3 linked regions of the Xenopus tropicalis genome follow. The protein of the gene in region 2 purifies or fractionates together with the protein of the main gene of each other region. This does not show direct contact. Links are inferred from orthologs where the notes say so. Each region holds a gene or a part of one and is shown on either strand. Other genes may lie near its edges.

The links.
Region 1: the proteins of nod1 (region 2) and sugt1 purify together in Homo sapiens (affinity purification with western blotting; 3 studies listed by BioGRID and IntAct, with this or other methods). This does not show direct contact. The link is inferred for Xenopus tropicalis from reciprocal best matches to the Homo sapiens genes NOD1 and SUGT1.
Region 3: the proteins of nod1 (region 2) and ripk2 purify together in Homo sapiens (affinity purification with western blotting; 4 studies listed by BioGRID and IntAct, with this or other methods). This does not show direct contact. The link is inferred for Xenopus tropicalis from reciprocal best matches to the Homo sapiens genes NOD1 and RIPK2.

Annotation. Positions count from the first base shown.
Region 1 is NC_030678.2:132,229,301-132,234,522, forward strand, and holds the start of sugt1 (protein SGT1 homolog), read right to left. Parts: upstream 3,409-5,222; 5' UTR 3,374-3,408; intron 1-3,373. UniProt on the Homo sapiens protein: May play a role in ubiquitination and subsequent proteasomal degradation of target proteins.
Region 2 is NC_030682.2:51,348,447-51,352,519, reverse strand, and holds the end of nod1 (nucleotide-binding oligomerization domain-containing protein 1), read right to left. Parts: intron 3,453-4,073; coding exon 3,369-3,452; intron 1,944-3,368; coding exon 1,860-1,943; intron 1,171-1,859; coding exon 1,098-1,170; 3' UTR 735-1,097; downstream 1-734. UniProt on the Homo sapiens protein: Pattern recognition receptor (PRR) that detects bacterial peptidoglycan fragments and other danger signals and thus participates in both innate and adaptive immune responses.
Region 3 is NC_030682.2:126,031,796-126,037,048, reverse strand, and holds the start of ripk2 (receptor-interacting serine/threonine-protein kinase 2), read right to left. Parts: upstream 3,409-5,253; 5' UTR 2,966-3,408; coding exon 2,706-2,965; intron 1,569-2,705; exon of another isoform or gene 1,293-1,568; intron 1-1,292.

The DNA.
Region 1 (5,222 bases), on a different chromosome or scaffold from region 2:
CTATATGTGACAACAGTCACTCGTACTCTTCATATGTCTAGGTTGTGGGGTAGGGTAACAAGACTAAGGGCGAGGACACACAGGGCGATTAGTCGACCCAACTTTTTGAAAAGTTGAGATTAGTCGCCGCAACGGACATTATCGTCTATGGGCGAAAAGTTGCCGTAACGGTCTTAGTTAAAAGTTGCGACAACTGTCTTCGCCCCAAAAGCCTTTACTCACAAAGAAAAACATACAAGCCGGGCTAAACTTTGCAAAAAGGTAAACCCAGTCTCCCACAACCATGTGGAAAAATGTATTATGGTCTGATAAGGCCAAGCTTAAACTATATGGCCATAAAGAACAGCACATCATCACAAGAACTCCACATCCACAGAGAAGCATGGTGGGGGCAGCATCATGCTTTGAAGCTTCTTTTTGGAACTGTTGCTTTAGTCAAGGAGAATGGAATCATGAATAGCTCTAAGTATCAGTCTATTTTGTCACAAAACCTTTAAGCATTTGCTAGGAAGCTTCAGCATGTCAATAACCCAAAGAAGACATCTAAATCAACAGCTCCACTTAACAATGTTCTGGAATGACCCAGTTAGAGCATAGGAGATGTCTTCGCAATATGACTTTTGCAAGTCCATATGTGCCAAAGTGACTAGTTCAGAGGGTGTGCACACTGTGAGCACACCTAAACTAGACAGTTTTGTAACAAAATAGACTGATACTTGGAGCTATGCCACCTTGTATTTCTTTTCTCCTTTTTTTCACTGTTTCTAATTTGTTTTCAACTACTTTGTATAGACTGCAATTTTGCAATAAAGGTTATTTAGTTAAATAGTTATCAATCCACCCATATATAAGGCAAGTTGTGTTTTTTATATTTTATGTTGCATATGACAAGTATAATTCAAAGATGACAAAACTGCCATTGGGCAGGACAGGTGCCATAAGAATCAATTTGATAGCCACAGGCAGCTGCTAGAAATCCTGGTATAAATTATAATATATTTTAGGGCAATGAAGGACTGGGTAATTTGCAGAACTGCCCCACCATTTACTTGAATAGCCAGGGTCGGACTGGGCCGCCGGGACACCGGGAAAAATCCCGGTGGGCCCCGGCCCTAGTGGGCCCCAGCGGCCCAGTCCGACCTTTGCCGGCGCTCCCCCTACTGACTGTTCCTCCCCGACGCGTTCAATTTATACACGCTCGGGGAGGACGTCAGGCGGGGGCCCTGGGGGGGGGGTTAGGGGACGTGGCTGGTGGGCCCTGCACCCTCCAGTCCGACCCTGTAAATAGCAAGCTCACTTGGGGGTGCCAAAATGTTAGGCCCAAGTGACTTTAATTGCTTAGCTTTTACCCCGGGCTGGTGCCCCTGTTCGGAGAAAACCGCACCAGCCTGGGGTACCTGCGAGCAAGCGTTTGCTCTTCCTTATTTCTTTTGTCTTCGGAATCCCTGGGCCGGCACATGCGCAGTAGAGTGAAAAGCAGACTTTTTTGTTAAAGTTCGACTTTTCACTCTACTGCGAATGCGCAAGCGCGCGAAGACAGGAGCAGGAAGAGGAGGCGCTTGCTCGCAGGTACCCCGGGCTGGTGTGGTTTTCTCCTAACAGGAGCACCAGCCCGGAGTAAAAGGTAAGGCACTAATGACTAAGCCTTTCCTTCTCCTTTAAGCAAGTAGTTGGCATAACTGTCTCTATGTGTGTTTTAGCACAATTCTTAGTACTGTCTATGGCAGAGTATTTTCTGGCGTTCTGTAGCCGTAACGAGTAGCATCGTATTTTATAGCCCTAAGTCCACTGTGAAAGCCATACCATTCCATATAACATATACTGTTTAAAAAGAACACTTTCACAGACTAAGAATTTATGCTCTCATGTTGAAGGTGGGCCCAAAGCACTGAATGAAAGGGGAGGGAAGTACTTTTTCTTTTAGTACTTGCATAGTTACCAGCATTTGAGCCTTTTCTTTCCCCCCACTAACACTATACAAACAATACTGGTTCCTATACACCAAACACCGTCTCCTTGGAAACTGACAACTGTCAGACGCCTTATCCTTAACCCTTTCGGTGGCTGGACTCTATCATTTTACTGCACCATATGTTTCCAGAAAAAATGCAGTGCTGCTTCAAACTAAACAAACCCATAACTGTAGAAACACTGCCACTATGACTACTTTATGCCGTTGTCATGCATTCTATGGTACCAGGTACTTATGAGAAACATTGAAAAAAAAACAAAAAACCCTATTTTACTTATTATTATTAATACAATTGTGAAGCATGAACGTATTCTACAACATTGCACAATAAATGGATATATACATTACGCATACAAAAACACATCCAAAAGCAACCAGTACCCAACACAATACAAGAGGAAAAGAGGGCCCTGCCCAAAAGAGCTCACAATCTTCCACAGCAAACCTTTTGCAATCATTTATGTGAATCATTTTATAGTAATTAGTTTAAGACACATGGGAGGCATTAATATACTAAATTAAATTACAAATATATATATATATATATATATATATATATTACAGTAGGTACAAACAATAGGGATGTCACACTTAGGGGTATATTTATTATGCTGTGTAAAAAGTGGAGTAAGGCATTACCGGCCCAAGCTAACCAATCAGCAAGTCAATTTCAACAGTTATTAAACCGAACAAACTATCTGATTGGCTGCTATGATCAACATCACTGATTGTTGTTGAATATTTCACTCCACTTTTTACACAGTATGATAAATATGCTCCTAAGAGATTATGGGATGAGTTTTACCTGCTGTGCCATATCCCTAACACACTTAGAACATAAGCCTCCAATACATGGGAGTGTAATCTTTATAGGACAGGGACCTCCTCCTGTATCTCTTAACATAAGGAATGCCATCATGTTACTGTGTATATTACTTTATTGCAATACTTGTCCCCCAGCAGAATAACCTTCTGAAGGACAATACCCTGACATCAGAGCCTGGATTTCCCAGCAGCCACAGTAGGAAGTGAGGGGAAATACAAGATAGTGTGATGCCTGATGCTGTTGCAAGGGCTAAGATTGCCCTGAGGTACTAGCACTACAGCTCCCAGCAGGCACAGCCATTTACAATTTACTAGTACTGTATTTTCAACTGCTAGGGGGCTGCAGGTTACACAAACACTACTAACTATTAAAACAGCACAAAACGTATGCCATGCTACATTGTGTCTACTGTAATAGGGGACACACGCCCACTGTATTGTAACAGCAGCCCCCGCAGCTCAAGGAAACCCATCAACTGTACGTACTGCCCAGCTGTCACTGACCCGGAAACCCCCGGACCCAGGTGCTGGGCAGCAGCATAGGCAGTACTTCTACCTGCTACACACAGCCCATACCTGTACGTGTTACACACAGCCCATACCTGTACGTGTTACACACAGCCCATACCTGTACGTGCTACACACAGCCCATACCTGTACGTGCTACACACAGCCCATACCTGTACGTGTTACACACAGCCCATACCTGTACGTGTTACACACAGCCCATACCTGTACGTGTTACACACAGCAAACAGATCGCTCCAACTGCAGCTCAGTGAATCCCCAGGCCGGACCGCAGGGAATGCCAAACAACAACGCGCCGCAGAAACTGTCCCTCACCGTGACTCCGTAGGGGGAAAGTTCTAGACTGGCCGGGAACTTGCAGAGGGGATGAGCAGGGAACGCGTAAGGCCAGAGCGGGGAAATGAAGCAGAGCGGCATCTGCAGGTCAGGAGGAGCAATGACACATTTAGAAGCAAGCTTATAGCTGAATTGACCTGACAACATGCCCTAATAAAGTTCAAGTCGTGTCACATTCACTTTCTGGCTTCTTGTAATGGGATTATATGGCAAAGGAGTGACTAAGGGAGGTGATAACAATAAGTTTGTTGTAAGTCAGTCTTAGAGGCCATTTCCAGGGATACCTTATAGAAGATTGTAAGCTCTTCTTGTAGATTGTAAGCTCTTTTGGGCAGGGCCCTCTTCACCTCTTGTATGGGTTATTGATTGCTTCATATGTTACTCTGTATGTCCAATGTATGTAACCCACTTATTGTACAGCGCTGCGGAATATGTTGGCGCTTTATAAATAAATGTTAATAATAAAAAAAAATAATAGAAGCTTAGGGGAGAAAATAAATATGTTCAGGTCTTAAATACAAAATGAAGGTATAGTGAGCATTTATTTTATAATAGGCTTTGCTTCTTCTTTATATTGTACCTGTGCCTAGGGACTGGCACCTGGAAAAAGTACCAGCCTTCTTATATTTTCAACTTTTTTCCCAGCATCAAGCATCATTTTGCTATCCACTTGTAAAATACTGAATAGGTGGCAACCTACCTGTGCCTCTTATTGCTGGCAGCTTCAATCCTATAGTTGATCCAAGTACATAAGTCTATGGCACACTGCAGATTCTGTCGCAAGTGCACGATTATGTCGGAATGAATTGCGGCAGCATTCATTGTACCGTACAATTCCTTTCTTCTCTATCAGATATAATATTAATGCCAGCCCAGTTTATATGCGCTACTAACCAAATTATTGGTACAAAGCCAAACCAGGTTCTCGGTAAAGTATTTTTATTTTATTATTAGAAGACCCTCCTATTTGTGTCTGTAAATTACTCTCCCATTTAGATTGTAAGCTCTACGGGAGAAGGACCTTCATCCTCTTGTCTCTTAGCTCTGTGGAATTTTTAATGCAACTGTACTTTTTATGTATTTGTATTTATTACTGTACTCTTTATTAATGTAGTGGCTCCCAACTTGTTATTAATTTATTGTTCTGCTGTACAGTGCTGCGTAGCACAATATAAATACAAACATACATACATACTTTACACTTCTAATGAGTTTATATTGTTTCATTTTCACAGTAGTTGCCTCTGAAGACCACCAGATGTCACTGCTGTCTACTGCTCATTTTGTGAAACATTTCTGCAATAAAAGTAAATGCAAGATGGATATTGCTAGCCTATTTAGAAATGTAATAAAACCTTGCTTTATTTCAGTTTGTCTGGGGATGCATTTTGCATACATTTTACTTTTGTGAACCGCTCTGCAGACCACTGAGTGGATCTTCTGCCGATATTGCCACCAGCAATGACGAGCATAGGAGCCGTTGGACCAAGGGCCGCATTAATGAGCCGATCAATACCTGGCCAATTTTCAGCCAGATATCAGTCAGTAAGGCTAATGGTAC
Region 2 (4,073 bases):
CGTCAATAATGTAATTGTTGTGCCTGCGGCCAGCGCCACTGCTTTAGATCTGGTGTAGCACATGAAGCGGATTTTGGTGCAAAACTGCTCTCCAGATTTGGGCTGAATTCCACGTAATGTGCCTGCAATCAGCCCGACACAGTGGCTGAGGGTGCATATATATTTTGTATCATATTGTGTGGGGGACTCTTTTGAGGGAAAGCTGACTTTTCCAGTATAAAGCAAAAAGGAGTTTGACTTCAATTAACATATGAGAAAGGACTGCCCTGGGATATGGTCTCAGTACGTCAATCCAATATAAAGGGCAACTCAAGCTAAATCTCTGTTCTATATTTCCCCAGACCCACCACCCAATAAGTCCCCCTACCCAGACCCACTACCCTACCTGGACTGCAAACCTTATCTTCCAGTTTTACGGGTCTGACCTGGGACCCGCGAAACTGGAAGTGATGTCACTGTATAAGGGAAGTGACGTCACTCTGGAGCCAGAGCAGAAGGGTAAGAGGAAGCTGTGACCTAGGTGAGGGGAAGCTAGGAGGGACCACTCCTGCACCATAGCTGGGGTACCCGCAGACTGCCCGGAAGGACAGAAATAAGAGAACTTTCTACCTGAAACTGACTGCTTTGTAGGTAATCCCCAGGTACCTCACCTGATGCAGGACTCTACCCCAAACTTCAAGTAACAGCAACCCAAGAAATAATAATACTGTTATGAAAAAGCACTTACCAGATGATTAATGTAACAACCATTATTACCTGATCCCATCATGGTTTGTAGTTCTAACAACTGTATTCAGTTCACATTCAGAACTGTCAACTTTGTCATGATCTATTTTGAGCTTTGGATGCATTTGCCCCTTAATCTAATGCCCAAAGGCTTAACGTTTAATGTGCAGTGGCTGGAACCAGAGGGCATGAGCTTTGCTTGTTTTTCAACAGCTTGATACTCCCTGTATAGAAATAATATAGCGTATATTATGCAGTTTGTAGTTCATTCCAACAACGGCTCCAAGGTTTTCCCCACTAAGCAGCTGCACTTCATTCCCTTTGTCTTACAGTCTTTGGGCCTCAGTTTCTTGTTCTTTTACACAAGTTAATCAGATACAAAAGATCCTGGAGTTCTGCTCAAATGGTTGATTCTCCCCTAGTGTGAGTGGGTTTCCTTGTAAACTGAAAGGCAAAGGTAGAAAGAGTTTAAATATTCTATCGGTTCTTGCCTGCAGGTTCAGTACTGTCAGTTTTGCATAGCCTGGCTCTAGCAGGTTGACTATAGGTAAGACACACTGTATTCCTTAAAAGTAAAAACATTAGGTACATTTTCCCTTTTAAGGGATGTTTTGCCTCAGTATAATGTAGATAGTGATATTCTAGGAGAATCTGCATTAGGTCTTCAGCTCTTTCATCAGTTGCCATGGGTTACTACCAGGTGCAAATTTGACCAGTGTTAAATAAATTAGCCCCAAGCTATGTGAACACTTTGCCACAGCTCTGCATCCTCTCTGCTCTACAAAAATGTCTGACAATAATGATTGGGCACCAGTATGTGGGGATCAGTTATGAGGTTTCTAGCTAAGCACAGAAGCTCAGGAGGCCATCCCTAATATATTATTAAGCAATGCCTATGTGCTAATCAGCAGCACTGCGGGCAAGAAATACTGAAGCTGAAGCATTCCCCACATGTCAGTGAAAATAAAACATTGCAGAACAGGAGAAGAATTCTTCTGAAATTGTTACATCAAAATATGAGATGAATTTACCTTAGGGACATTTTACCCCACTGGTGTTCCTGGTGCCTGATTATGAATGAGGAGCACATTATAAAATACAAATAAAAGGAGGGCCCTACAATAAGCACTTACCAGATCTCCTCCATTACAGTGTTGTGCTGCAGGGCCTCGGACAGCAGTTCAGCTCCATGATTTGTGATCTGATTATTCACAAGCCTGACAGAAACAGATTACCGCATGCTTTATTCATATTAAGTTTATAACTGTCAAGTGTAGAACATTAGCAGGAACAAGAAAGTAAAGCTCCAGCACCAAAGGAACCCTTTCCTCCGTGCAACACAAGGCTGCTAAAGAAACACAGGGTGGCCTCAATGAAGACCCCCCCCCCATATAACGTAATTTATGAGTTATGGGTTGGGCAATAACTATATAAATTAATACAAATTATTTTAAATTATTTAAAATGTGATAGACATTTGTCTTGGTGGTGCTAAAAGCAGGAGAGTGTTAGCACCAGTAGAGAAGTATGGCCCTTTCAGGTTATAAATATGTTCCTGGAGACCCAGAGGAGAATGGCTGCAATAATACTCATATATACATGATATATATATATATATCCACCCTGACTGTTAAAATGTTCATTTCTGTTACAATGCATCTACATAAGTGAATACTGGCACTAGGGCTCATTTGCTAAAGGTAAAGAGCAAAAACCAGATGCAAAAACCCCCAGTTTTTTCTCCCAATAAACTTTGCCCCCTTTCATCAGCTGTTGTCATGAGCAAATTATTCTGCCTGTGGAACTGGGTGCAAAGGGTTTACTCCTTACAGTGAATAATGTACCCACATGCACCAAAGTCACCAGGGTATCATTCCAACAGTGTCTGTAGAGGCAATGTCTATTGGAAGCCCTGTGCTCTAGCTCCACCAGCTGGGCAAACTCAGGACTACATTCTGCATTTCAGGAGACTGCCTTCACATATTCTGGATATTGCTCACTCCAGTTCTTTGGGAAGCTGTGATTGCAAAGAGAGCAATAAAAAAAGAACAAAAGCTTTTTAACCAAAATGTAGAGGTTTTATGTTTGTAGAGCACACAGTTTAGAGTTCATATATCTGGGGCATGCCTACAAGTTGGTACCCCTGCACCTCTAACACTGTGCTTACTTTTTTGGGCTACTTGGCATAAGGGAGGGGTTGGCAATGGTCAGCTGCTATTATGCCCTTTTCTGGGCAGGACCAGCCTTGAGCCACTTTAGGTAGAATCTGGAGAAGGGAGTAGTTATATAGTCATTCAGCAAAGCCTATATATTCTGTGTCCCTAGAAACATAACAAAACAGACAGCATTTTTGCATTTTGTCCCACTCTTCTTTAACACATCAATGTGTTATTATTGATACAAAAAAAATTGAAAATCAGAACCAAAAGTAAATGTGGATTTTATGCACCCAAGAAGTATATTGGGTCAGAGCCAACCCTGTTAATTACAGGTTCTCTGTATAGCTTAAATACAGCCCCAACCACCAGCATTTTATGAACATAATATGTTAGTGAAACATCTGGCAATGGCTATGTAAATGGTAAAAGCAGCAGATAATTAAGTTTACATCAGTCACTGAGCCTCTCTGAGAGATAACTTACCACAGGTGCCGGAGGGTTTTGTTAACCTTTACCATCTTGGCAAAGTGCTCTGCCGCTTCATCTGTCAGCTTGTTCTCAGTGAGCCTGGATTCATAAGAGAAAAAAGGGCACCAGGGGCGTATTACTACTTAGATTATTGAACTTTCAGCCAAAATGCAAAGCATTTAAAGCATCTGCCAAATTGTTAGGTGTCAAGTATATAAAATGGAAACCTGAAAACAGTCATAATGAAAAAGAAACCTTTAAACTACCAATTAAAATAACACAGGTTTAGTTCAACATTACAGCTGTATAAAACAACAATCTAACTGTCCTTTAGTTGAAGGAGTATCCGGGGGAGCATTCACCCCATTGTCTTACAAGAACTGCCCTATAGGCTGAGCCCCCCTGTTCACTAGGTGGCAGATGCACAGCTTGGGAGCCTGTGGTATGGAGCAGTGTTTGCAGGGTCACAAGACTAACATTTCTACCATAAGGATCAATAGAGGTATGGGATCTATTATCCAGAAATCCATTGTACTTGATCACAACTAAGAAATAATTCATCCTTATTGGAGGCAAAACAATCCTATTTGTTTCATATAATGTTTAAATGATTGTTAGTAGACTTAAGGAATAGTGATCCAAACTATGGAAAGATCCCTTATCTAGAAAACCCCAGGTCCTGAGAATTCTGCATAACAGGTCCCAACCCTGTATAATCGC
Region 3 (5,253 bases), about 75 Mb from region 2:
AAACAGTAGCTTTTACTTGATCCCAACTAAGATATAATTAATTATTACTGGGGGGTAAATCCATTTTTTCTATATAGGAAGCTCAGGCCACCCCCTTAAGCTGCTGCCCTAGACACAGGCCCTACGGTATACAGTAAATACAGCCATGCCTAAAAAAATGCCATGTACATCAATGCAAAATTATGTCAGTAATTACCCACAGGGCATATGAGAGAAAATAGAGAATAGAGAAAGTGAGGGAAAGGTCAGACATTGTTGCAAGAGAACTTGCATAACAATGAACCAATATTTGAACCCAGTCCTTCCTTTTGTACTCAATTTTGCACTGCCACATGCCAAACAGTCAGGACGTTAAAGGACCAGTAACACCAAAAAATGAAAGTGTATCAAAGTAATTCAAATATAATGTACTATTGCCCTGCACTGGTATAAGAGGAGTGTTTGCTTCAGAAAGATGACTTTAGTTTATATAAACTAAGCTGATGTGTAGCCATCAGGGCAGCCATTCAAACTGAAATACAGCTATTTGGCACAGGTTGCATAGCAGATAAGCTCTGTAAACACCATAGTATTTTACAGAGCTTATCTGTTGTCTGCTATGTAACCTGTGCCTTTTCTTCTTTTCCCACTTGAATGGCTGCCGCCATGGCTACACAGCAGAGTATTTATATAAACTATAGTAGTCTCCCTGAAGCAAACACATCAGCTTTACCAGTGCAGGACAACAGTACATTATATTTTTATTACTTTGATATACAGGTATGGGACCCATTATCCAGAATGCTCGGGACCTGGGGATTTCCAGATAAGGGTCTTCCATAATTCAGGTCTCCTACCTTAAGTCTACTAAGAAAATTATTTCAACAGTATTTAAACCCAGTAGTATTGTTTTGGCTCTTAGTTGGGATCACGTACAAGGTACTGTTTTATTATTACAGAGAAAAAAGGAAACCATTTTTAATAATGTGAATTATTTGATTAAAATTGAGTCTATGGGAGATGGGCTTTCCGTAATTCGGAACTTTCTGGATAATGGGTTTCCGGATAAGGGGTCCCAGAGTAAGTGCAAAAAGTGAGTGCAAAAGATAAGCACAATTAACCATGTTTCCCACAATGCAGCTTTTCTCCCTGAAAATACCTTTCCACCAATGTCGATACAAAATTTGTGTCCTTTAGCATGGAAGTTGCACTAGGGATCTTGAAGGTGTCATACAGGTGGGACATGCACAAGATCTGTGTGCGTGATTTATTTTAATAGCATGTTTAATAGCTCTGGGGGTGTGATAAATTACCTGGAATTGCACCCGACTGGATTCAATGGCAATTGCTTGAATCTGTGGTTGAACACATGGGCAAGGCTAAGAAATGTGACAGTCAGCGTTTAAGAAAAAACAAAGCTGGTGATAACCGGCCTCATGGAATGACTGTTATGCTGAGGAATGAAGACTGACACATAAAGATAACTGCCTGTATACAGTAACTGTTTAACCAGCATGGGCAAAACAAACAGTCCTGCTTCCCCAAAGTCCTTTAGGCCTGAGGATGATTCAGAAAGTGGTCGGGAAATGCTGAAAAAAAAGTGAAATAAGGCATGAAAAAGTTTTATGTTGCTGAATGCTGGAAAACCCCTGTTCAGTTTGTTATATGTTTATTCCTGCCAATAGTTTGCATATATGGGAGAAATGAAAGCTGGCGTTGATTTTAAATGGCAAATTCACCAAATAGTTTGGATTTTTTTCTTTTATAAGGTGCTTTTTTTCAGCTTAAAGGACAGTTACTGGGGGGGGTGGGTTCAATGTTGAACTGTGGAACAGTGCAACTACTGGATTGGCCAAACCTTCCTGCAGGTTCTTTGCGGTCATATGAGGGTTTGGTGTTGACATTCTGGCCAGTATACAAGCAGTACTTTCTGAAAGCTGTCTTGGTCTTCCAGATTCGGTTTTGCCTTCCACAGTTCCCCTTAAACTACAATTTCTTGACATTACAGAAATCGTGAGCTGGAAGCATTTTGCAATCGTTTGATAGCATTTCCCTGCTTTGTAGGCGTCAGCTTCATTTTCACATCCTTACTCAATAGCTTAGAGGAGCCCATGGTTGTTGGGTCTCTTTAGTTCTGCGGTTGTCAAAAAGTGACACAATTCCTAATAAATATTTAGGTCCAATAAGGTATATTGGGCCAGGGACCTTGCAAAAACAGTTTTTATAACTGGACAAATGGAAGAGGGCCCAACATTTTACACGTCACTGTTTTCTTATGTCAGTGAGATATATATTACAAATATGTTGTTTTTTTACCCACTGATTCCTGCAGTAGTTCTGCACTAACTTTCACTTGCAACATTAACCAAACATGGTATTTGGCACAAGTGCTTTATGGAGGAGCAAATCATTCCCCCTTAGTGCCCTAGCACTTGTATCAAATGTAAATTATGGCTATAGTGTAATGTAATGTTCCCACCCTTGGATCTACATGGAATCCTTCATAAACATTCCTACATGCCTTCATTTTATTTGCTGAGGGCTTTGGAGGGCTGTTAAAACACACACCCACATATAAAAAAATGATATTGCACAGAGTGAAATTTCTATACATGGGTTTAACTACCTATATGGAATACTGCATGTTGACTGCCATGTAGCACTAGCAAATAATACAAATAACTGAATATTAGTGCCCACCGCAAGCTCACAGTTTAGTCACTCACCTCTCCACCAGATGGCGCTCTGTCGGGAAGAACTTCACAGCAACTCTCACCCTCCAATCAGAGTGGCAAGCACTGTGTACGGTCCCATAAGCTCCTTTATTAATGAACTTCAGGTCTGTGAGTTTCTGATATGGGATGCACTGCAGGGAACTGCTGATACTGGCAGCCGGAACGCTTATACCTTCTTCAAGGTTTAGAGAATAGCGAGTGCCCGATGGATAAGTGGACGCAGATCCCCGGCTGCCATCGCCGCTGCTCATTCTGTCTCTCCGTAACTATCAGAAGCCAGGGAAGGGCTGCCGGAACGACTACAGCACAGAATATAAAAGTATGTTTGCTTTTCCCGGAAGGAGAGGGCAGCCCGCCTCCCCAGCTTGTTTCTGCCGCAGCTCCCTTTCCACTAGGTGAAAGTGAAAGAAAAGTAAAGCAGAAGTTCCAGTTCTCCCACCCACAAACTTTCCTAGAAAAAAGTTTGGCATTAAAAGAATATTGGCAAATAAGAGGAAGAAGCTACGGGATGAGTTGCACGCTGAGCGTCAGTCATTGCTGGGAGTCAGTCATTGCTGAGAGTCAGTCATTGCTGGGAGTCAGTCATTGCTGAGAGGAGCTGCTGCTGCTGCTGCTGCTGCACACCTTTGTACCACAGCAGCCCCGGCTGCCTGAGCCACACTCCTTCCTGGTAGCGACAGGCCCTGGGGGAGGGAAGGGGAGGAAGTGAGAAAAGGAACAGCACAAAGGGTGCACTAGATTCTGCCATCTGTCTGGTAGACTTTATATTTGAGAGCTTATTTTGTGGGGCAATAGGGAAAGTACAAAAAACGGAAACCCTTTTGCACCTTGCCCCACAAGTAGCAGCCATTCTGCTGAGGAAATTGCACTTCCACGTGACTACAGTGGCACTTGCATTACTCACATGGCACCTGCTCCTTGCACTTCTGCATAGCGCATAGCGCTGAGCCCCCATTCGTTAAAGGAAGCCCAGGACCTTCTGCCACCTTAAACATGGGTTAATTCCAGGATTCTTATAGCAGTCTGCATCAAGAGGGGTGACTTGTGCCCAAAAAAATCACACGCTAATTACTTTTATAACAGCGAAAGGGGCACCATCTCCACTATGGGAGTCCACTAAGGGACCACAAATCAGGAATGCCCAGCCTGTGGCCCTTCAGCTGTTGTTGATATACAACTCCCAGCATCCCCCCAGACAGCTGGAGCCAGATTCAATTTGATGAGAAAAGTTTCTCTTCCTACTTCAGTTCCATATTTTCCCATTAAGCCACATTCAGTTCAATTGGAAAAAACTGAGGGGTCATTTTCAATGCCCCATGCAGCGTGCAAAGTGTGAAAAAGACCATTTTTTTGCACTTTGCCCAATAGCTGCATGCTTCTGTGCTCCACTTTCTAGCCAAAGACCTGGGGACTGCTGTTTGAATCTAGTGCTGCCTGCGTTAGGCCACTTTAGATTCAAAAGAGGCAGCTCCCACCCCCAACATGCACTCCATTTCATGCTCAAATTAGGGAGCAGAAGGAGGCACAGCCCACATTGGGGGGTTGTACTTACTGAGGACAGGGCTGAGCCTGATGCAACTTCTTTGCGCAGATTGCTGGATTTTTAAACCCGACGAACTGGGCAGAGAGCAACAAACCCAATTTTTCATGTGATTAACCATAAAATAATCTGGAGCATAATAACACTTGCATCATTTGACAGCGCAGGTGCTGAGCCCTGTCATTGTATACCATACCTCACCAGGTATTACTTTATCTTTCTCTTTGTCAATATTTATTCTGTCCGGATTATTGACATACTTTATAGGAGGCCTGAGAAATAAGTAGCAAGTGCTGCAAAACAAGCTGTGCCTGGCTCAGAGTTCACATACTTTATTAGAACCACATACCTGGCAATTCAGCAGCAATAGTGCCACATTAAATGGAAAACATACATGCAATTTTAATTAGTAAAAGGATAGTGGTTACTAAAAGATTGGATTCAAATGATACTCTCCAGCAAGAGCTCAGCTTCAGGGGGCTCGTCATTCAGCCACAGTTGCTGTACAGAGTTGGAGTAGTAAAGATGGTTATACAGGAATGGGATCTCTTATTCAGGAACCAGTTATCCAGAAAGTGCAGAATAACATGACGACCCTTTCCCATAGACTCCAATGGGAACTCCAACTAATTCAACTTTTTAAGCAAGATTTTCTTTTTCTCTATAGTAATAAACCAGTACCTTGTATTTCATCCCAACTTAAATATAATTAATCCTTATTGGAGGCAAAACAGTCCTATTGGGTTTATTTAAAGTTTAAATGATTTTTTAGTGGAAGTTATGAGGATCTAAATTACGGAAAGATCCTTTATCTGGAAAATCCCAGATCCCACTCATTTTGGACACATCCATGTCCCATACCTGTATATATATATATTTTTTTTCAAGGTCCCAAAAGGGACCGAAACGTCGGTTGTACATGCAATTATAATACATTAATATTTATTTGAACCACAAGACCCTTGGTGCTGGTTGTGTTTGATTCAGTATATACAGTAT